Linked DNA regions of Lonchura striata. The protein of the gene in region 1 purifies or fractionates together with the protein of each later gene. This does not show direct contact. Links are inferred from orthologs where the notes say so. Each region holds a gene or a part of one and is shown in the gene's direction. Other genes may lie near its edges.

The links.
Region 2: the proteins of RRS1 (region 1) and FTSJ3 purify together in Homo sapiens (affinity purification with mass spectrometry; 3 studies listed by BioGRID and IntAct, counting the BioPlex papers as one, with this or other methods). This does not show direct contact. The link is inferred for Lonchura striata from reciprocal best matches to the Homo sapiens genes RRS1 and FTSJ3.
Region 3: the proteins of RRS1 (region 1) and NOP2 fractionate together in Homo sapiens (co-fractionation; 3 studies listed by BioGRID and IntAct, with this or other methods). This does not show direct contact. The link is inferred for Lonchura striata from reciprocal best matches to the Homo sapiens genes RRS1 and NOP2.

The regions. Positions count from the first base shown.
Region 1 is NC_134603.1:35,123,444-35,129,594, reverse strand, and holds RRS1 (ribosome biogenesis regulatory protein homolog), read left to right. Parts: upstream 1-4,264; 5' UTR 4,265-4,397; coding exon 4,398-5,486; 3' UTR 5,487-5,614; downstream 5,615-6,151. UniProt on the Homo sapiens protein: Involved in ribosomal large subunit assembly. May regulate the localization of the 5S RNP/5S ribonucleoprotein particle to the nucleolus.
Region 2 is NC_134627.1:1,888,186-1,895,374, forward strand, and holds the start of FTSJ3 (pre-rRNA 2'-O-ribose RNA methyltransferase FTSJ3), read left to right. Parts: upstream 1-4,153; 5' UTR 4,154-4,190; intron 4,191-4,316; 5' UTR 4,317-4,409; exon of another isoform or gene 4,410-4,451; intron 4,452-5,446; 5' UTR 5,447-5,506; coding exon 5,507-5,573; intron 5,574-5,652; coding exon 5,653-5,758; intron 5,759-5,907; coding exon 5,908-5,954; intron 5,955-6,095; coding exon 6,096-6,175; intron 6,176-6,274; coding exon 6,275-6,374; intron 6,375-6,629; coding exon 6,630-6,824; intron 6,825-7,086; coding exon 7,087-7,189. Other genes in the region: SMARCD2 (SWI/SNF-related matrix-associated actin-dependent regulator of chromatin subfamily D member 2), read left to right, coding at 1-177; PSMC5 (26S proteasome regulatory subunit 8), read right to left, coding at 816-869, 1,096-1,182, 1,257-1,367, 1,463-1,561, 1,638-1,828, 1,905-2,031, 2,120-2,350, 2,422-2,478 and 4 more.
Region 3 is NC_134604.1:29,452,971-29,460,667, reverse strand, and holds the start of NOP2 (28S rRNA (cytosine(4447)-C(5))-methyltransferase), read left to right. Parts: upstream 1-4,636; 5' UTR 4,637-4,695; coding exon 4,696-4,801; intron 4,802-4,877; coding exon 4,878-4,923; intron 4,924-4,995; coding exon 4,996-5,075; intron 5,076-6,175; coding exon 6,176-6,441; intron 6,442-6,738; coding exon 6,739-6,782; intron 6,783-6,901; coding exon 6,902-7,068; intron 7,069-7,697. Other genes in the region: CHD4 (chromodomain-helicase-DNA-binding protein 4), read left to right, coding at 85-250, 610-719, 946-1,081, 1,230-1,307, 1,423-1,560, 1,655-1,763, 2,078-2,210, 2,960-3,155 and 2 more. UniProt on the Homo sapiens protein: S-adenosyl-L-methionine-dependent methyltransferase that specifically methylates the C(5) position of cytosine 4447 in 28S rRNA. Required for efficient rRNA processing and 60S ribosomal subunit biogenesis.

The DNA.
Region 1 (6,151 bases):
ACTATCCACAGTGCCTGCAGTCATCCAAATCTCCCTGCTATCTCAACAGCTATCTGTGTTCTGGCTTCTAGACTAAAAATCAGCTCTGCTTAGTTATCCACTTGTAACTGCATTCCAACTACCTAATCTTAGGTTTTGCAACTAGAGCTACAGCCTCCTGACTTTCATCTGCACAGTTTGGGTTTTTTTGTTTGTTGGGTTTTTTTTTTTTTTCATAAATACAGCACTGTGCTATAATCACATGAAATCTTTGGACAGGAAAATGAAACCTGCCCATTTACAAACCAACCAGAAATGTTTTGAAGTGTGTGAGCACAGATAATATCATCTCCATCAACACAGCTTGCTTAAGATTAAGCATGTCCCCTATGAGGTTCCTAATAAGGCCTTACAGTGGTGAAACCATGAGAAGGAATGCCCCATTATCTGTAATGAGTAATATAATTCCTGTAATAGGAAAAGCTCTGACTACCAGATGTATTTTTGTTATACTGCAGAAGTCAACTCACACATTTTATAAAAGATGGTGCCTTAAATCTTTGTAAGTTTTTTATTCCTTACAGACAGGTCTTTTACATTATATGGACTAGCAACTAGGAAAGAGTCTGTTTAGTCAAATTTGCATTGCTGTGTTTTGCTATTTGGTCTGAAAAAGCACTTATATGTCCCAGGAAATAGGACACATACTGAAATACATTAAATGTATGTTACAGGGGTTAAAAAAATGTATCAGGAAGCAGAATTGGGTCCATAAATTGTTGTACTTAATATAGCTTCAGTGAGCAAACAACTTCTCCGTTTTACAAAAAAAATTCTACAGCACAGATTTTTACTTCAAAATGTACTGAACAAAGTCAGTGGAAGGGAATTATTCTGAGATAGTGTGGATATTTTAAGGGCACTTTCTACTATTTTCCAAAATTATCATCACTTTGAGTTTGCCTGATAAAAGTGTTCTTCATAACAATCCTCACAGCAGGCTTATGAATTGATTGACTCATCTTATAACTACATCTACTGCCATCCAGAGGTAATTGGCAAAAGTTTGAAAAGTAAATCTAAGTTAATGGTATCACTAACAGTGAGACATTAATCCTGTACATGAGAGCAGCTCCTATCAAACACAAACCTCAAGTTGCAGCCCAGCTGAACAGAAAGTATAAAAATAAAAGTTAAGTAGGATAATTCTTTATTCTTTCTCACAAGAAAAACAAACCTGATGGTATGTCACATTGATGTTGTAGTACTTTTGGTGCATCACGTATATTCTGCATTATGCTTTCAAATAATCTTTTGAACTAGTGTTTCTGAAAATTATACTCTACTGTATTTCTCATGCAGCTACATTTTTTGTGTGGTTAAAAAAAAAAAAAAGACCCAATACTCTACAGCCTTCTTCACCTCAAAATAAAACTGCACTTTGCAAGAGAATCCAAACCCTCCCTGGTCACATCCAAGTAAAGAAAGCAAGCAAACAGTAAGCATTAAGTACATATATGCACATACTGTGACATATATTGCTATTGTTCATACTGAAGAGATAAAGTACCTCAGGGAAAGGGAGAGCAATGATGAAATTGTTTCATTATCTACAGACTGTAAGTGCCCACAGTTAGATGTTGCTGAGCCCTCTATCTGAGCACAACCCATAGGCAGCCTGTGAAATGTGATATCTGATATGCCAAAAGGAACACAGGAACCCCAGAACAGAGATGATCAAAATGAATAAACACTTCTAAAAATTCATTCTTTTAAAAATTGCTGGAAGAGTCTTTTTAAAATAATGAATTAAACATGAGATAATAAAAGCATTCATTTCCTAAAAGCTGTTTCTATTACTGAACATTGGTATTACCCTTTCATCTTTTGGAAAGCCCAGATTTGCAGAAGTACACACACATCTATTCCTTTGACAGAAGCCATGCACCTGGTTGCAATCCCCAGCTCTAAGCTGGGAGTACAAGCTCAAAGCATGGCTATGGTTACTACAGTCAGCTCAGAAGCCCCTCCTCAGAATGGGACAGTTTCTCAGAATATCCATGATTATTTACAAATCTCTGTTTATAAATCTTTTCCAATATTCTTCCAACAACCACCTTCTCAACCACATTGTGAAATCACAAACTGCAAGCACCAAAAGCAAGGTTGTGCTCTGAGGTGCAGATTCCTGAAATACATAAAAAGGCTGGAATTTAGATCAACACAGCAGTTTCCAGAAAGTAATTTTTACTTCTGAGATTCCTCTACATGTTTTCAGGTAAAGCAACATCAATTCCTGACATGCGCTCCTTCTGCTATTCCAGGGGGAATCATTAACAGTTCAAGCAACTTTGGAAGTGCAAGAGATGACATCCTCTCAGCCCAAGGCATCCACCTGATGCATTCTGGACTTTGTACAAATACAGACCAAAAGAACTCCAAGATATCTGCATAAGGATAAAAGAGGAGGGTACCTGGATCAGTGTAAAGGTATTAACCAGACTACCAAAATGGTGAACCTTGCAGTCCAAAAGTTCAAATTTATGCCTAAATCTAGATAGTGCCCATGTACCTCTTCAAAAAACTGTCTTTAAAATTAATTTTATCTGCAATTCCAGGGTAAAGTATGAGCTACCCAAGAGAAGGTACAAAATATTATCCAATGCCATCTTGTGGTAAACAAGAAAATAGTCCATGCCAACAAGCTTGGATTTAAATACATAGGGATTCTGTTGCTCCACAGTATACAAGTCATGCTCAAAACGGCTGACTTGGGGAGAAAAAAAATTCTTGGTTAGACTGTGGCAAAGTTGTGTTATGCTAGCCATTAGAATTTAAGAATCAGGTATTTGTCTTCAATGTTTTGTTTAATTTCAATAACATTGCTGTGGCACTACACTCAGAATAATTTCCATCACTCCAAAACTAATCTAAAGGCAAAAATGGAATAATAACTTAGAAGATAACTATACCTTGTATAAAAACACCCATAATTTCCCTCCACTACAGCTAAGTGTTCTCATGAGCTTGTTTTTAGGGCACCAGGGATCAGCTCAAAATATCATGGCCACACAAGCCAAATCACTGTATAGCTATAAAAGGATTCTTCTGCAGCCCATTTATTTAAAAATAGCATGGAGGTATCTGTGACCCAGCTGACCTTTAGGAGCACACCATATCACCCCAATCACCTCACTTATAATTATGTCTGTTGAGACATCTGCCAGATGATACTGCTTCCCAAATGCTGTTCCACCCCTCCCTTCTCTGGAGGGAGATCTACCCACAACACCTGTGTCAGTCTCGGTGGAGTTGCAATACAGCACTTGAATTTTGAATTGAAAGAGCACTCAGTGGGACTGTTCTACAGCAAACAGCATCAGAAAGAATCATATGCTTTAAAAAAATCAGTAAAAGAAGCGCATAAACAAACAACACACACACACATACACACCAAAAAAAAAAAAATTAAAAAAAAGGAAAAAAATATGTTCCTGTGTCACCGTCTCGGTGTTTGGATGCCACAGCACATCCCTATTGCAGGCAAAGGCAAGGGAATCTGCAGGGCCCCATTGACCCTACAATGGTCCTACCACTCTGCTTTGGGCATTTGCCTCCCTTCATGTCCTGAGTCTTCCCACGTATGTTCCACCTCAGCACCACTCATGGTAGCAGCATGAGACAGATTTGGGGCCACCCCGAACCCCACACAACCCCAGCTTGGGGGTCACAGAGGATTTCATCAGTATCATTGGTGATCATCGGTACCACAGGTGAGGGGTCCAGAAGGTGAAGTCCCACGAGGAGCGGCCAAGGGAGCTGGGGCTGTTTTGCCTGGAGAAGAGGCTCAGGCGCGATCTTATCCTTCACTACAACTAGGTGAAAGGAGGTTGTAGCCAGGTAGGGTTTGGCCTCTTCTGCTAGGCAGCTAGTGATATAACCTTGAACTGCACCAGGGGAGGCTCAGTTCAAGTATTAGAAATAATTTCTTCACAGAAAGGTTGATTAAACAGTGGAATGAGCTGCCTAGGGAGGTGGTGGAGTCACTGTCCCTAAAGTTTTTTAATGAAAGACTGGACGTGGCATTCAGTTTCCTGCTCTAGCTGACATGGTGATGTTTGGTCACAGCTTTGACTTGATGTCCTCAGAGGGCTTTTCGAGCCCAATTGATTCTGTGACTGGCAGGGCACGTCCATAAGCCGCTTCCCTGGCAAAGCAGGGCTCCTCCGGCAGGCCGCGGGGAGCCGCGGCGCCCTCTGGCGGGCCGGCGCGGCGGGACTACATCTCCCGGCGGGCATTGCGCCCGTCCCGCCCGAGGGCCCGGCGGTTCTGGGCCCGGCGGTTCCGGCGCGCTGACCCGGCGGAGCTTTCCGTGCTCCGGGGCAGCGGCGGCGCCGCTCGCACGTGTAGCCGCTGCCATGGCGGCCGTGCGGGTGGAGGCGGTGCTGGCGGCCGCCGAGGAGCAGGAGGCGGAGAAGCGGCGGAGCATCACGGTGGAAAAGGAGCTGGAGCTGGAGTACGACCTGGGCAATTTGCTGGCCGTGGACCGCAACCCCCCGCCGGCGGCGGCGCTGCGCGGGGCCGGCCCGCGGCGGGAGGCGCTGCTGCAGGCGCTGGCCCGGGACAACACGCAGCTGCTCGTGTCCCGGCTCTGGGAGCTGCCGGCCGAGCGCGCCGGCGGCGCCGGGGGCCCGCTGGTGGCGCAGCTGCCCGAGCCCACGTTCCGCCTGCCGCGGGAGAAGCCGCCGCCGAAACCGCGGCCGCCGACGCGCTGGGAGCAGTTCGCGCGGCTGAAGGGCATCCGCCGCAAGAAGAAAACCTCGCTGGTGTGGGACGAGCAGGCCAAGGAGTGGCGGCGGCGCTGGGGCTACCGGCGGGCGGGCGGAGACCCGTCCCGCGCCTGGCTGGCGGAGGTGCCGGCGGGCGCCGACCCCGAGGAGGATCAGTTCGCCCGGCTGCGGCGGGAGAAGCGGGAGCGGGTGGCGCGCAACGAGCTGAACCGGCTGCGCAACCTGGCCCGAGCCCACCGCGCCGGGAGCGCCGTGCCCGCCGCGCCCCTGCACCCCACCGGCCACCAGGACCGCGACGAGCTGCGCCGGGTCGCCCGCGTCGCCCGCGTCTCCACCGCCTCGCTCGGCCGCTTCCAGCCGCGCCTGCCGAAGGAGTCGGCGGAGCCGCCCTCCCGCAGCGGCGGCAAGAAGCGCCGCTTCGAGCCGCTGCTGGGCAACCTGGCGGCCGAGCGCAGCCGGCAGCTGGAGCTGCTGCGGGACATGGGCAGCAAGAAGCCGGTGCTCGACATCACCCGCGCCGTCAACAAGCAGCTGCGGCAGGAGGAAGCCGAGGCGGCCGCTGCCAACAAGGGCAAGAAGCAGTCGAAGCGGGGCAAGCGCGGCCGCCGGCAGCAGCGGCCTGGGCGCAGCGGCAAGAAGAGCGGAGCCCGGCGGCAGCCGCAGCAGCAGAAGGCTGCGGGCGGTGGTGCCGGCGCGGGCAGGAGAAAGAAGGCGTGAGAGACAGTGTGCAGCACGGGCTGAAGATGCCCACCGAGGCGTGGGAAGGGACTGTCACTGCCAGCCTCCTGCCCGGTGCTCTATTCACACACGTATCTGTCAATAAATGCGTTCTGACCTTTCTAAAATATCCTGCGTTTGGCTTTTAGCTGGTAGACAAGGAGGGCTGTGTTCTCCATCCAAGGGAAATTGGTGTCCTGTGAAGGGAGAAGGGTGCACCAGTTCCCTCCAGTCTGGGGATGTCACAGTGACTTGTTTCACAGGTAGTGTCGCTTCACAGTTGGCCTGCAGCATCTCTGCCAGGACAAAAGCTGAGCAAAGCTGTTTTCAGGTGGCTGGGACTGGACCGCAGATGCGACCTTGAGTTTTGATGGAGTAGCAGCCACAGGTCCAGTTAAAGGATGTGGCTGCTGCTCTCTGCCTTGGGCAAGTGGCCTGACGGTGGAGCTCTTGCTCTGTAAGTCAGCTTCTGCAGCTCAGCTCTGTGGTATTCAGATTCAGTTACAAAAGGAACATGGAAACTTACTGTAAAATTTATTGCAGGGCCTAAGAAATTATACAGATTTTCCACAGCATTTTGTTGATGAAAAAAAGTCTGAAAAAAGCTGCTGAGCAGCCATTGAGTTCAGCAGAAAAATGTTTGTATTGTACAGGTTAAAACCTAA
Region 2 (7,189 bases), on another chromosome or scaffold:
GCTCCCCGCTCCCCTCCCGTTCCAAAATCCCCCCGGAGCCGGGGAGCGCTGCCCGTGCCCGTGGGGAGCAGCTGCCAGCCCCACCCCGAGCCCCGCAGGCCCCGCCCTGCCCCTCTTCAACCAAAGTTCATCATTCCAAACGCCAGCTCCCCCCGATGTTTTGCACTATTTTTGTGAACAGGTTTTATATAAAAAAAAAAACCAAAAAATACGAAAAAACAAAAAAAAGGCAGCGTTTTGTACAGTGGGTTTGTATTTGATTAATTAATTAATATATTGATTGAGTTCCTCTTCCTGCACTGGGCTCCTGCAGGGCCTCAGGGAGGCTCCCCGGGCTGCTCTGGGGATACGGAACCAAGAGCTGAGGTTCAGTTTGTGACAATCAGTTTATTCCTTACCCCACTCCCACTGTTTTACATAATTCCATCATTAACCACTTGTCTTGACGAGGTTTGGGGGCAGAGGCGCACCAAGAACTGGAGATACTGGGGAGGAGGGAGGGGACCATGGGGGCAGTGCCACCACTGCCACCCCCACTGAAGTGCCTTTGCCCCCCTGCAGGCTCTGAGGTGGGGGGGCGTTTACAGATTCCCAGGGTTGGGCTCAGGGGTTCCTGCTCTGCCTCTTGTGTAACCAGTTTTTGTCTATTTTGGATCTTTTCTAATAAAAGCAGTCAGCAGCAGCTCTGTGGGGTGTGTGCTGTGTCCTGCAGCCCCCACCCCATCCCCAAACCAGTCCCCAGCTCAGTGCCCGGGCCTGGCCACAGTAGCTCTTTATTAACAGCACCGAGGGAGGGAGCAGCTCCAGCCTCACCGTTACTTCCACAGCTTCTTGATAGACATGTTCTTCTCACTGTCCTTCTGCATCACCTGGGGGACAGGACAGGGATGGGTCCAACATTCATCGTCCAAATTGGGTGTTAATTACCCCAAAAACACCCCCAGACTGAGTGTCAGCCCTGCACAGGGAAGGTTTAGCAGCCTCTGCCATGTCACTCACACATTAACACCCCTTTGTTTGTGCTCCTGGCAAACGCCACCCAGGACACTGTGTGCCCCCATCAGCCCCCACTGTCACCTCTCCCCTGGCACCCACCTTGGCCACGGCCATCTCGAAGTCCTCCTGTGTGACGTGCACTCTCCTCTCCCTCAGTGCATACATCCCTGCCTCTGTGCACACACCCTGAGGGGACAGGAGGGGAACATCAGCCAGTGCCCCCCTTGGCAGCACCCCTGTCCCCAGAGCCCCCAGCTCACCTTCACCTCAGCCCCCGAGGCCCCCGGCATCAGCTCCGCGATTTTGCGCAGGTTGATGCCCCGGGTCAGGTTCATCTTCCGGGAGTGGATCTTGAGGATGTCCAGGCGGGCCTGGAGCAGGGCACAGGGAGGGTTGGAGCCCAGGAATGGCTCCCAGGGAGGGTAGGGACAGCAGGGACAGGGCCAGCTGGGGGTGGCTCTGGTACCTCCTCGTTGGGAGGGGGGAACTCAATTTTCCTGTCGATGCGGCCGGGGCGCAGCAGGGCAGAGTCCAGGATGTCGATCCTGTTGGTGGCCATGATCACCTGTGCAGGGGGACAGCTGTCACCACCCTGTGCACCGAGGGGCTGGCAGGACCCCGGGCAGGGCCGGCCCCTCTACCTTGATGTTCTTGGTGGCCTCGAAGCCGTCGAGCTGGTTGAGGAGCTCGAGCATGGTGCGCTGCACCTCGCTGTCGCCGCCAGAGCCGCCCTCCAGGCGGGAAGAGCCGATGGAGTCGATCTCGTCCATGAAGATGATGGAGGGCGCGTGCTCCCGCGCCATCACAAACAGCTCCCGTACCATGCGGGCCCCTGCGGGCAGCGGGCTCAGCCTGGCCCCGAGCCCAGCCGGCCCCGAGGAGCCCCGGAGCCACCCCCGCCCCGTTACCTTCCCCGATGAACTTCTGCACCAGCTCGGAGCCCGACACGCGGATGAAGGTGCAGTCGGTGTGGTGGGCCACGGCCCTGGCCAGCAGCGTCTTCCCCGTGCCGGGGGGGCCGTAGAGCAGCACCCCCTGCAATGGCCACGCCGCCCTCAGAGCCCGCCGGGGGACACGGCGCGGCCCTGGGGCTCCCCAGAGCTCCCCGAGCTCCTCCACTTGCCTTGGGCTGGGCGATGCCCAGTGCCTCGAAGAGCTCTGGGTGCTTCACGGGCAGCTCGATGACCTCTTTGATCTCCTTGATCTGCTTGTCCAGGCCCCCGATCATCTCGTAGGTGGAGTCTGGGACCTTCTCCACCATCATGAGGGACACAAGCGGGTCCACCTTGTTGGGCAGGATCTTGTGCAGGGTGTAGCTGTCATTGCGCAGGGCCACACGGCAGTTCGGGGTCACCTGTGGGGACAGCACGGGGGGCTAGGTGTCTCTGCCTGCCCTGGGGACCCCCACAGCCCCGGGGCACTCACATCATTGATGTCAATGTTCTTGTCCACATCCACCACAAACTTCCCCTCTGGGTGCACCTGTAAAGGAGCAAAGACCCCCGGGAATTCTTTCCCTGGGAATTCGCTGCTGAGGAACATCCCCATGGCCTGGGAGGAGCAGGAGCCAGGAGCTCCAACCCCACTGGCCACCCAGGGTAGCCCCAGGCCCAGCAGAGCCAAACCAAAGAGCTCCTCTGCACAAGGAGCTCCCACCCCACATCCCTGAGCTGTCCCACAGCCCCAGCCCAGCCCCGGCACCTGGGGGCAGCTCAGCCTCGTACCTTGACCAGCACCTTCTTCTTGTCCATGGCTCTCACCACCTCTCCCACATAGGATCCCTGCTCCTGCAGCAGCTGCAGCTCCTCCCGCAGCAGCCGCACTGGGGCAGGGACAGCTCAGCATCAGCCCTGGGCCTGAGGGCTGCCACACCCCCAGGCCCAGAGCCCCCAGAGCCCTCAGGCCCGGCCCAGCCCAGGAGAGCAGGAGTTGCTCCAGGCCGTACCCTTGGCGTTGAGCTCGTTCCTCTGCGCCTGCAGCCGCCGCAGGTTCTGGCTCTTCTCATTCACGATGAGCTGAAGGGAAAGGCTTTGCTGAGCGGCCTGGGGCTCAGCCACACCCAGCACATGGCTTCCAGCATGGAATTATAGAAGGGTTTGCATTGGAAAAGATTTCAGAGCTTGTCTCATCCCACCCCTGCCATAGCAGGGACACCTTCCACTATCCCAGGCTGTTCCACGTCCCCTCCAGCCTGGCCTTAGGCACTGCCAGGGCTCTGGGGGCACCACAGCTGCTCTGGGCACCCTGTGCCAGGGCCTGCCCACCCTCCCAGGGAACAATTCCATCTCAATATCCCACCCATCCCTGCCCTCTGGCAGCTGGGACAGGAGCAGCCCCTCAGCCAGGGCGCAGCAGCCCCAGCTCAGGGCACAGCCCCACCTCGTGTCCCCAGCGCCCCAGGGAGAGCCCTGCCTGCCCACAGCGCTGGGACAGGGGCCGGGACACGGCCACAGCATCCCGACAGCGGCCCGGTGTGCCCCGCGGCTGTGCTCACCTGCAGCTCCTCGATCTTGGACAGGTAATACTGCCGGAGCCCCGAGCCGCCCTTGCCGTCGTCCATCTCCATCTGGGGCAGCAGAGCTGAGCGACCGCCGGCACCCGCCGCGCCCCGCCGGGCCCGACTGCCCAGCACCACCGCGCCCGGGCCCCGGCTCCCCTTCCCCTCTCCCGGGTGTCCCTCCCCTCCCCGCACTGCCTGCCCGGCACCCCCCAGCCGAGTCCGGGTCCCCCGTGTCCCGTCCTGCCCACAGCAGCCCCGGCTCCCGCGCCCTGCGAGTGCCCCGGGCCCGGTCCCATCCGATCCTGACCCCGGTCCCGATCACATCCCGATCCCGATGCCGGTCCCGGTCCCGTCCCGCCGCTCAGGCTCCGCCGCCTTCCCCGAGACCCGCCGAGTCACGACGCTGCCGGGCCCGAGCAGCCGCGGCCGCAGCACACCGCTCGGGCAGCAGGACGCGCCCCCGTCCCTCCCCAGCCCCGCTGCTCCCCCGCCCAGTCACGGCCGGCCGCACCTGCTCGGGCCCGTCCAGCGCCATCTTCTCCGCCGGCATCGGCTCCGCCGGAGATGGCGCCGCGCCCCGCCGCCGGCCTGTGGCGTCACTTCCGGCTCCGGGAACACAGCGGGCGGCCCAGCGCGCATGCGCAGTGTGGGCCCCTCGTGTCGGCACCGCGCTGCCAGCTCGGAGCGGCCAGAGGTGCTGTGTCCGTGTGGGAAAGCGCCGGAGGGGAAGGACAGGCCCGTGACCGCATCACCGAGCGGGCCCGGTACTGTGCCCGCACCTCCGAGCTGTCCGCTATCCTTCTCCTTCTGCCGCCCGCAGGCTGCGGAGGAGGGCTGCGCCGCTCCTGAAATGTCGGCCAGGGCGGGAGGAAGCGGAAGCTAAGGGGTTCGCGCAGGGCACGCCGGGAAGGCGGTGCGGGCACGCGGCGGGACCGGGAGCAGGAACAGGAGCAGGGTCGGGATCGGGGCCTGGGGCTGGATCGGGGCCTGGGGCTGGATCAGGATCGGGGCCTGGGGCTGGATCGAGGTCTGGGGCTGGATCGGGGCCTGGGGCTGGATCAGGATCGGGGCCTGGGGCTGGATCGAGGTCTGGGGCTGGATCGGGGCCTGGGGCTGGATCAGGATCGGGGCCTGGGGCTGGATCGAGGTCTGGGGCTGGATCGGGGCCTGGGGCTGGATCAGGATCGGGGCCTGGGGCTGGATCGAGGTCTGGGGCTGGATCGGGGCCTGGGGCTGGATCGAGGTCTGGGTCTGGTGCTGGCTCGGGGTCTGGGTCTGGGGCTGGATCGGGGCCTGGGGCTGGGTTGGGGTCTGGGTCTGGGGCTGCATCGAGGTCTGGGGCTGGGGCTGCATCGGGTCCTGGGGCTGCATCGAGCTCTGGGTCTGGGGTTGGATCGGGGCCTGGGGCTGGATCGGGATTGGGGTCTGGGTCTGGGGTTGGATCGGGGCCTGGGGCTGTATCGCTGTCTGGGTGGCGGTCTGGGTCGGGGGCGGGGGCTGGGGCTGGGTCGGGGCCTGGGCCTGGGGCTGGGTCTGGACCGGGATCGGGATCTGGACCGGGGTCTGGGTTTGGGTCTGGGTCGGGGCCTGGGGTTGGATCGGGGCCTGGGTCTGGGTCGGGTCAGTGTCTGGGGGCGGTGGCTTGGGCTGGGGGAGGGGGTTCGGGGGTGTCAGGGCGAGGGGTGTGGAGCTCGGGTGATCCGAGGCCTCAGGGGGACAACGGGGCCGAAACGTGCCTCGGCTGGGCCTGAGGGGCAGGGCCGGGAGCAGTGAGGGGGCGCTGGGGGGCCCTGGGAGGGCAGTGAGGGAGGAACCGGAGGGGCACTGGGAGGGGTAAGGCAGGGAGAGAGCTGGAGGGACTCAGGGGGCAGCGACGGAGGCCGGTCTCCCCTGCAGTGCCTCGAGTGCCTCGGGGGCCCAGGCCACCCCTCAGCCCCGTTTCCCCCCCAGGCTTGAGCCCTTGGCTGGCAGCACATCCCAGCCCCCCCAAGGGGCCTCCCCGCCTCCACCATGGGCAAGAAAAGCAAACTGGGCAAGAGCCGGCGGGACAAGTTCTACCACCTGGCCAAGGAGACGGGTGAGGGCCGAGCCCAGTGCCGGGGGCAGGGGGCTGTGGTCCCGGGCACCCCCAGAACCACCCTCCTGCTGTCCCCCAGGCTTCCGCTCCCGCTCCTCCTTCAAGCTGCTGCAGCTCAATCGGAAGTTCCAGTTCCTGCAGAAGGCCCGGGCCTTGCTGGACCTGTGTGCGGCTCCCGGCGGCTGGTGAGTGGGGACAGCCACCCCCAGTGCCACCAGCCGCCGGGGGTCTGTGCTGTGGGACCCCTGTGCTGCACACCGAGCCCTGGGAGCGCAGTCCTGGCTGAGCTCCCCTGGGCTGCTGCTGCAGCTTTGCTCCTCTCTGTGCTTCCCAGGCTTCAGGTGGCTTCCAAGTTCATGCCGGTGTCCAGCCTGATCATCGGTGAGCACTGATCTGTCCCCACAGCTGGGACAGTCCCTGGGTGTGACAAAGGGCGTCCAGGGAGGAGGAGGGGCTGGGTGGGGAAGCCACTTGGCATGGGCTGGGTCCCTTTTGAGGGGATTTGCTGTGTTTCTTCAACAGGGGTGGACTTGGTGCCTATCAAGCCCATTCCCAACGTGGTGACGCTGCAGGAGGACATCACCACCGAGAAGTGCCGCCAGGTACTGGCCTGGGGCTGCAGGTGCCCTTGGTGGCAGGGGGGTCACAGGGGATGGGCTGGGGTCCTCAGAGAGGGACGAATGTGTGTCCCTGTCCCACAGGCCCTGCGCAAGGAGCTGCAGACGTGGAAGGTGGACGTGGTGCTGAACGATGGAGCGCCCAACGTGGGAGCCAGCTGGGTGCACGACGCCTACTCACAGGGTGGGGACACTGGGACAGCTCACTGCCCTTACAGGGTCCTAGGCTGCTGTGGGTTGGGAGGGACCTTAAAGCCCATTCAGTGCCAGCTCCAGCCCCGTGCTGGGACATCTTCCCCTGTCACAGGGTGCTCCAAGCCCCATCCAGCCAGGCCTTTGGGATGGGGCAGCCACGGCTTCTCTGGGAAACCCATTCCAGCCTGTCTCCACCCTCCCAGGGAAGGGTCATTCCCTCACTCCCTGCTCTCTCCTGCTGCAGCCAACCTGACCCTCATGGCCCTGAAGTTGGCCTGTGAGTTCCTGTGCAAGGGTGGCTGGTTCATCACCAAGGTTTTCCGCTCCCGGGATTACCAGTCCCTGCTGTGGATCTTCCAGCAGTTCTTCCAGAAGGTCCAGGCCACCAAGCCCCAGGCCTCCCGCAACGAGTCTGCCGAGATCTTTGTGGTGTGCCAGGGTGAGCATCCAGGGGCATCTGGAGTGGCTGGGGTGGGGCTGGGGGAATATGCTGTTGGCTGTAATTACTCCATCCCAGGAGGAATGTTTTTGATGGATCTGATTTCTCCTGGGACAGTGGAATGGCTCTGAGCCCTCTCCCCAGAGAAGTAGCTCTGATTCCTCCATTCCAGCAGGAGTGGTTCTGATTCCTTCATTCTGGCTGGCTCTGATCCCTCTGTCCCAGAGGAATGTTTCTCATGGCTCTCATCTCTTCATCCCAGGTTATCAGGCTCCAGACAAAATTGACAGCAAGTTTTTTGACCCCAAATACGCCTTTAAGGATGTGGAGGTTGCCACCAAGTCTGTCAGTGAGCTGGTCAGCAA
Region 3 (7,697 bases), on another chromosome or scaffold:
TGTTCTCAGTGGTCTGCCTCTACAAGTGTGAATGAGTTTTGTATGACTCCTCCAGTGGTACATCTTTCTCTCCCTCTTGTGCAGGTGCAGGAATTTGAGCATGTGAACGGCCGCTGGAGTATGCCAGAACTGGCAGAGATAGAGGAGAACAAGAAACTTTCACAGCCCAGCTCACCCTCTCCCAAAACTCCAACTCCTTCGACACCAGGGGATACTCAGCCGAATACACCGGCTCCTGTTCCTGCACCTGGTGAGGGCTCCCCTCTTGCAGAGTCCTGCGTCCTGACCTTAGCCTGGCTGCTCCCCTCACCGGAGTTGTGGTGATGGGGTCTGGGGGTGGACGTAGATCAACTTACTCTCATGTTAGGAGGGCTGCCAAAGACATTTGCAAGCCCTTAAAGGCAAGAGAGGACACTGGCTTTCCTGGAAAGAACTGGCATCAGTGAGAAGCCCAGCATTTGTAGTGGGTAGGAAAGGGGAGGGTCATGTTAGTTCCATTTTGATGAGCCTGATCTCTGCAAGCAAAGAAGTGGTCTTGGTAACAGGGAAGACCTTACTGATTTGCTTCTCTTTTGTCTGCTGTGCTGCTCTGGCATGGGGAATACACAGAAGATGGAGTAAAAGTAGAAGAAGGAGCAAGTACTAAGGAGCAAGGAGAGCCTTCTGAACCAGAGAAGGAGCTCAGTGCCTCTGCTACTGAAACAGAGGCCCCTATGGAGGTGAGTTTTGGCTTTTTTGCCTTGTAATTTCTCTTGTGAATTTCTCTACTGCCCTCTCTTCATTTCAGCTGAGGCAGAGATGAGTTTTTAGAGTGATAATTGAAGATAATCCTCTGGTCCTCAGAATTGGCCTCACAGTTTTGTGTGTCTTTACTTTTTAAACTACTGTGACTGTTCTGTTGTCGTGTACTGCTATGCTTTGTGTCTCACTGCTCTCTGTCCTCAGCAGTGTGCTCAGCCTGTGGAGACACCGCCCCAGGAAGCAAAATCCCCAGTGAACTCCACAGAAGCAGATGAAAAAAAAGTAGAGGAAACAGAAGTGAAAGAAAGACCAGATGAACCAATGGAAGTAGAAAGCAAAGGTACAAAGCACGTGATCGTAAAGAAATAGGCTTGAATGTAGAAAATCACTGGGAACTTGCAGAATAGTATTGGGTTTCACTGGTCGAAGAACAAAACTCTGGACTTGCTACATTCCTGTGCATCTCATGTTCCCCTTCTTTCCCGCAGCTGATGCAGAAAAAGTGGAAGACAGAGCAGCTACTGAAAATCCCCCTGACCCTCCTATAATCACTCTGGATGAGAAAGGTGAGGCATGATGACTCCCTTCTCTTCCTTAACCCTTCTTCTGCAAGGATTCATTGTGGATTCAAGTTGTTGCACTATCTGCCATGTTTGTTTTAATAATTTCCTGTGTGTACAGATGAGAAAAAGGATGATGATAAGAGAGATGTGGTGATGCTACAGAATGGAGAGATGCTGAAAGACTCAGTAGATGAAAGGCACAAGAAGGCAGTAAAGCAGCGCTTCATGTTCAACATAGCAGATGGTGGTTTCACTGGTATGTGATCTTTGTCTGCTTGAACTTGTTTATAAGTGCCTGCTTATGTTTGTGAAGTAACTTCCAACTGTTCTGGTGTCTCTCGCCTTTGCAGAACTACACTCCCTCTGGCAGAATGAAGAGCGGGCTGCCACTGTCACCAAGAAGACCTATGAGATCTGGCATCGGCGTCATGACTACTGGCTCCTAGCTGGGATTATCAAGTATCCTTGCCATGAGAGACACATTCTCCCAGCTTGCACATAATTTGTCACGGTGAAAGTGACCACTCTGGATCTGACTGGCATAGGTTAAGTGAAAGACTGTTTTATCTTCACAATAGTGAAAGTGATGGTGGGAAGGGGAGTTTCCTGCAGCATAGCTAAGACTAAGCAGAACATAGTTCTCATTCCCCTTGGCTCCTGTTTGTCCCCTCTCTGTACCCCCTTTCCCCACCCCCTCTGGAAAACAGTACTGCCTGGGCTGTGTATTCCCTTGTTTTCACTGCGTTTGTTTGCCTGAGCTCATCCCATCTCAGTCATGGCTATGCCCGTTGGCAGGATATTCAGAATGATCCACGTTACGCCATCCTCAATGAACCCTTCAAGGGTGAGATGAACAGGGGTAACTTCCTGGAAATAAAGAATAAGTTTTTGGCAAGGAGATTTAAGGTAAGGATTTCTCTTTAGTGCGATAACTGCCTGGATCTCTAAGAACAGGTTCTTGCAATTCTGAGTTTTCACCAAGAAAGTGAAAAATGTATGCAATGCCTTTTTGTTTTAGGGGTAATAAAAAAAGCAATATATCTCGGGATCATGCAGTTGCTCCATGATAGGAGCTTCCTTTTTTCTGGAAATGGTATTGGGGAGTGCTCTCCATCCAAATGTTTGTTGAACAACTGGTAAGCAAGAGGCTTAAGGTTCAAGCAGCTGTTTTCATCACAGCTTCTGCTTGGTCTGCTGCAACCAGATCAATGTTTTGGGGCAAAACACTGATCAACTGTAGATTGAATGGCAAGTTCAGCACTGACAGGATTCCAGCTGATTTCTCCAAATGCTTACAAGATTTTAGACTCTTTCTATAAATAGGATGGAATACTTTTCCCTTGGGTTCAAAGAGTAATCACTGTCCCATTTGCCTCATAAAGAATGTGTAAAAAGAATCAGAGGACGAATGAAAATACTAGAGGAGTTGTAGTCTGTTAAACCAAATGTACCCTGGTTTTTTTGTGTATCTGACTTTGCTTCATGAAACCCTTATTGTTTTGGGCTACTCAGTAAAACCGGCTGGTGAAAGGAGATTCAGCTACACAATCTCACCTTATGAGATGGTGGGGAATTGGCTCAGGAGAGACCGGGGGTACAGACAAGGCTTCCTCTCAGTCAGCTGCTGAAAGACTCATTCCTGCCCCACCTTGCAGCTCCTGGAACAAGCGCTGGTGATCGAGGAACAGTTGCGGCGAGCTGCCTATCTGAACATGTCCGAAGACCCATCTCACCCATCCATGGCTCTGAACACACGTTTTGCAGAGGTGGAATGCCTGGCTGAGAGCCACCAGCACCTGTCCAAGGAATCAATGGCTGGGAATAAACCAGCCAATGCTGTGCTGCACAAAGGTAATGCGGTGTGTTAAACAGGGGCAGGATAGGTGTTCAGCAGCGCTGTCCCCTCTGGGGTGTCCCTTTCCCGTCTGAACAGATGTCCCTTTCTCTTGTAGTTCTGAAGCAGCTGGAGGAGCTGTTGAGTGACATGAAGGCAGATGTGACTCGTCTGCCCGCCACAATCGCCCGCATCCCCCCTGTGGCAGTGCGCCTTCAGATGTCAGAGCGCAACATCCTCAGCCGCCTGGCCAACCGCAGCAGCGAGCCCCCGCCACCGCCCCCTCCCCAACAAGTACGTACCCGCTCTGGTCAGTAAGGAAATTCCGGGGGGAGGGGCCCTCCGTGGGCCTGGCTGGGCTCTGGTGACCAGCCCGTGAGTCTCAGGTCCTCCTCTCTCACCCTACAGGTGGCCCAGCAGCAGTGAGTTCCTGGCCCAGTGCTGTTGACCTTTCGGCCAAGCTGAAGTGACTCCCCTAGCCCACCCCTTCACACTCTACCCCTCTGCCTGACATTCCTGACTGGGTGCTGTTTCCCTCCATGGAAGCTGCTGCTCAGGTCTCTGGAAGGAGAAGAAACTCCTTCCTCTGCAGCCAGCCCGTTGGAGCAAGGAGTGTGTTTAGGAGAGAGGGGGATGGATGTATGATGGACTCTGTATATAGTGACTGGAGGCCCCAGCGCCATGTCTGTTACATGGAGAACCTGGCTGCATTGCTCGTTGCCTCCGCCTGGAATTCCAGTTTTGTTCTTAATTTTATTTTGAGTTTGTTTACTGAGACAAGTGCGCAGGCAAGACCAAGCAAAAGCCAGGACAGAGACAAAGCTACCTCCATCAAAATCCTTTTTAATAAAAAAACTGACCGGACTTGTCAATTAATAAAGCAGCTTGAAGACAAAAGCAAACAATGAAAAACCAACAAAAAACAGAGCAAAACGTTGATAAAACTGAAAAATAAAATTTCCTTGTATTTTATTTTGTTGTCTCTAGTATCATGAGTGTACTGGGGTAAGTATGTGGTCTCAGGACTGAAAGAAGAGGGTTCCCATGCCTTTTTGCTATATCAGAGCAGCTTTTTGGGGTACCCTACACCTCTGAGAGGGGCAGTAGATGCCCCAGCCCTGGCAGTGTTTAAGGCCAGGCTCCATAAGGCATTGAGGAACCTGGTCTCAGGAGTGGTGTCCCTGCGCCTGGCATGAGTGTTGGGCTAGATGCTTAATCCTCTGCGCCCCTACCTTACCAGTCTGATGCCGTGGCTCCTTTCCCCGCTGCGGCTGCAGCACGCCTTTCTCTGCTGCCTCTTGGGGCTGTTCCCCCCTCCGTGGGTGCCTGCGGCAGGAGCGCCGCTCCCTCGCTGCCGGGCCCGGCCCGACGCTCCCGGCGCCGCCGTTCCCGCGCCGGGGCGGCCCCGCGCGCCCGGGGGCGGGCGGCGCGCGCCGCTGACGCTGCCGGCAGGGCCAATCAGGGGCCAGGGTGGGCGGCGCGGGGGCGGGCCCGCGGCGGCGCGTGCGCCGGGGCGGCGGGAGCGCGGCACGTGCGGCGGGGTCCCGCGGCGCGGCCATGGGGCGGAAGCTCGACCCCACCAGGAAGGAGAAGCGCGGCCCCGGGCGCAAGGCCCGCAAGCAGCGCGGGGCCGAGGTGGAGCTGGCCCGCTTCCTGCCGCCAGGTAAGTGCGGCCTGGACCGGCCCGCGGCCGCCCCGCGGCGCCTGCGGCCGCCTCACCGCCGCGTGTCTTCCCGCAGAGCCGGAGACCGGCAGGAAGAAGCTCTCTAGTCACGGCAGAAAGAGGTGAGGGGGCGGTTCGGTGGCCGCGGTGTGCGGGCCGGGCCGGGGCTGATGGCGCTTCCCCTCCCGGTGCAGGGCTGCGAAGCGGCGGCTGGCAGCGGGCGGCGGCGCGGCGGGGAGCAGGCCGCGAGGAGGAGGAGAGCGGGAGCCGACGGGTGAGTGGGAGCGGGTCCGAACCGGGCTGGCGGGCCTCAGTCCTGCTTCCCCCCGGGCGCTGCCGCCGCCGAACTTCTCTGGCGTCCTTTTCAAGGCAAGGGATGCGTGGAATTTCATTGTTCTAAATCACAGAATCCTAGAGTTTCCTGAGTTGGAAGGGACCCACAAAGATAGTTAAGTCAGCTCCTGGCCCTGCACAGGACCGCCCCAAGAGTCACACCACGTTCCTGAAAGTGTTGTCCAAACCCTTCTTGAGCTCAGATGGACTTGGTGCTGTGATCGCTTCCTTGGGAACTTGTTCCAGTGCCCTCTGGGTGAAGAATCTTTCTGATATCCAACCTAAACCTACCCCCTTCCCCTGACACAACTTTGATTGCCGTACCCTCAAGTCCTGTCTCTCAAGTCCTGTCGTGGGTCACCACAAAGATCAATGCCTGCCCCTCCTCTTCCTCATGAGAAAGTTGCAGACTGCTATGAGGTCTCTCCTTAGTCTCCTCCAGGCTGAACAGACCAAGTGACCTCAGCTGCTCCTCAGACAGCTTGACCTCCAGACCCTTCATCATCTTGGCCTTCTTTTGGGCTCTCTGTAATAGATAATAATGAGTTTTATCTGATTTCTGGTGACTGCCATGCCAGGAGGCAGCGTTGTCTGAAGAACTAGTCAAAGGTCTCTCTTCTGTGTGTTAAGTCCATTTTTTACTCATTCTTTATTCACAGAAAGGTTGTTGCAGGCTGATTTTATAGCTGAGGCTTTTAAGTCTGTGTGTTACATCTTGTGTAGCCCAGGAAACTTTTAAAGTAGAAAGAAGGAAGGATAGACAAAGATTCGGGACAGGATACTGTAATATGTCAGAGCAAATAACCATAAGAATTTTGTGGCAGTGTTTTTATTTGGTAATTATAGTTAGATCTCCTGAAAGGTCCGGTGGGGGAGAGGTGGGAACATGCCCAGTACTTTATGAGATGTAGAGAGCAAGTCCCTCCCTCTGGACAGGCAGCTCAGGACTCGGACTAAGGCCTTTGTGTGTAACAACTGAAAAAGCAGAGCAGCTGATTTTGGAAATAATGCCTAACTTTTGACTGTTTCTTCTGCCTCTAGTTGAAGAGCAGCTGTCCCCACAGAAGGATAAACGTGCTGTAAAGGCAGCAGGACAAACTGTCCGTGGCCGTTCTGGCTTCAGTGATGGCAATTCCAAATGGCTGGCTCCAGCCAAAGTCAAGAAAACTCAGCCTAAAGGAAATCATGTGGAATTATCCAGTGATGGTGAGGTGGAAGAGAGTAGCTGGGAGATGGAGGAGGAGGAGGATGGGAGCAGTGAGGAGATGGTGGATGATTATGGTGCCTCATCATCAGAGGAAGAAGAGGTAGGAACTTCTTGCCCTCAATTACACAAGGAATACTTGATGTTGGTGGCTGAAAGGACCCCTCAGGCCTGGGGGGGAAGGATGGCTTTAGTGGCAGTGGGTGGTGAGGTGGTGGAGAACTTTCCCCTTTTTCCTTCACAAGAGTGATTTAAAGTTTAACAGTAACAGCTGATTCCAGCATAACGTTCAGTGCTTTTGTTTGTTGACCCTTTTAAACAGAGCAAGTAAATTTCACAGATGTGGGAAGTAAAGGGGTGACTGTGGATGTTTTTTGATTAATCTTTTGTCTCTATTTAGCTGCTGCCTATTGAAAAAGCTGCCCTGAAGCAGAAGCCTGACAGGTGAGTGTGTAGAGCCTTTCCCGAGGAAAGAGGAGCCTGTGTTGTTATTCTTCTGATTTTGTGCCATCTGAGAAATGGTAGTTGAGAAGCATCTGTGTGATCCTGTTCTTTGTTGTTAGGGAAGGCCTCAGTGAAGATGACAGTGAAGAGGAGGAGGAAGAAGAAACAGAAGAGGCAAACAAGCAGAAAATGGGACAGAAGGAAGAAGAGGGCCCTGATCTGCAGCTCAACCTGGATATAGATGAACAATTTAAACTGCCAACTAGTGAAGAGATTGAGAAGGAGGATATCCTTTTTATCTGTGGCATCCATAAGCCGTGTGCATGATGCAGCACGGGGCCTGGATATAAACAGAGAGCTTCCTTTGGACTTTTATCATGCACATTACTTAGCAAAAGTGTCTCTGCGTGACAAGGTATTTTTAGCTGAGCTGTCCTAATAGATAGTGTATAATGCTGTGCTTCTCTATAGCACAGTTAGGAAATCTGTGACACCCTGTATGGGGCTTGGAACCTGCCCTAATTTCCTTTCTAGTCCTAAATACATATAGATGATTTATTATGTGGTTTGTTCCTCTCTACCTTGATTTTCCTGGTGGGTGTTTGTGTAACCCATTCCCAGAGTTTCCGATGACAGCAATTCTAGCATCCAAAGTTCTTGCTGCTGGATTTGCTGATTTTAATTTTCTGCCTTCCTTCTTACTCTCCTTTATACTGCTTGGTTGCCCTTGGGGAATTTCTGGTCTCTTTTTCTTCTGCAGGTAATGCTTTCACTATTAAAACGCTACTTTTGTTAGTTTTTTGGGGTTTTTTTCCCTGTTTTTTTCTTTTCATCTAAACTAATTCTTTTAAACACCCTCTAGTTCTGCCTTGTGAACTTTTTTGTCCAGTTTCTTCCTTTGAATCCTGCATCTGC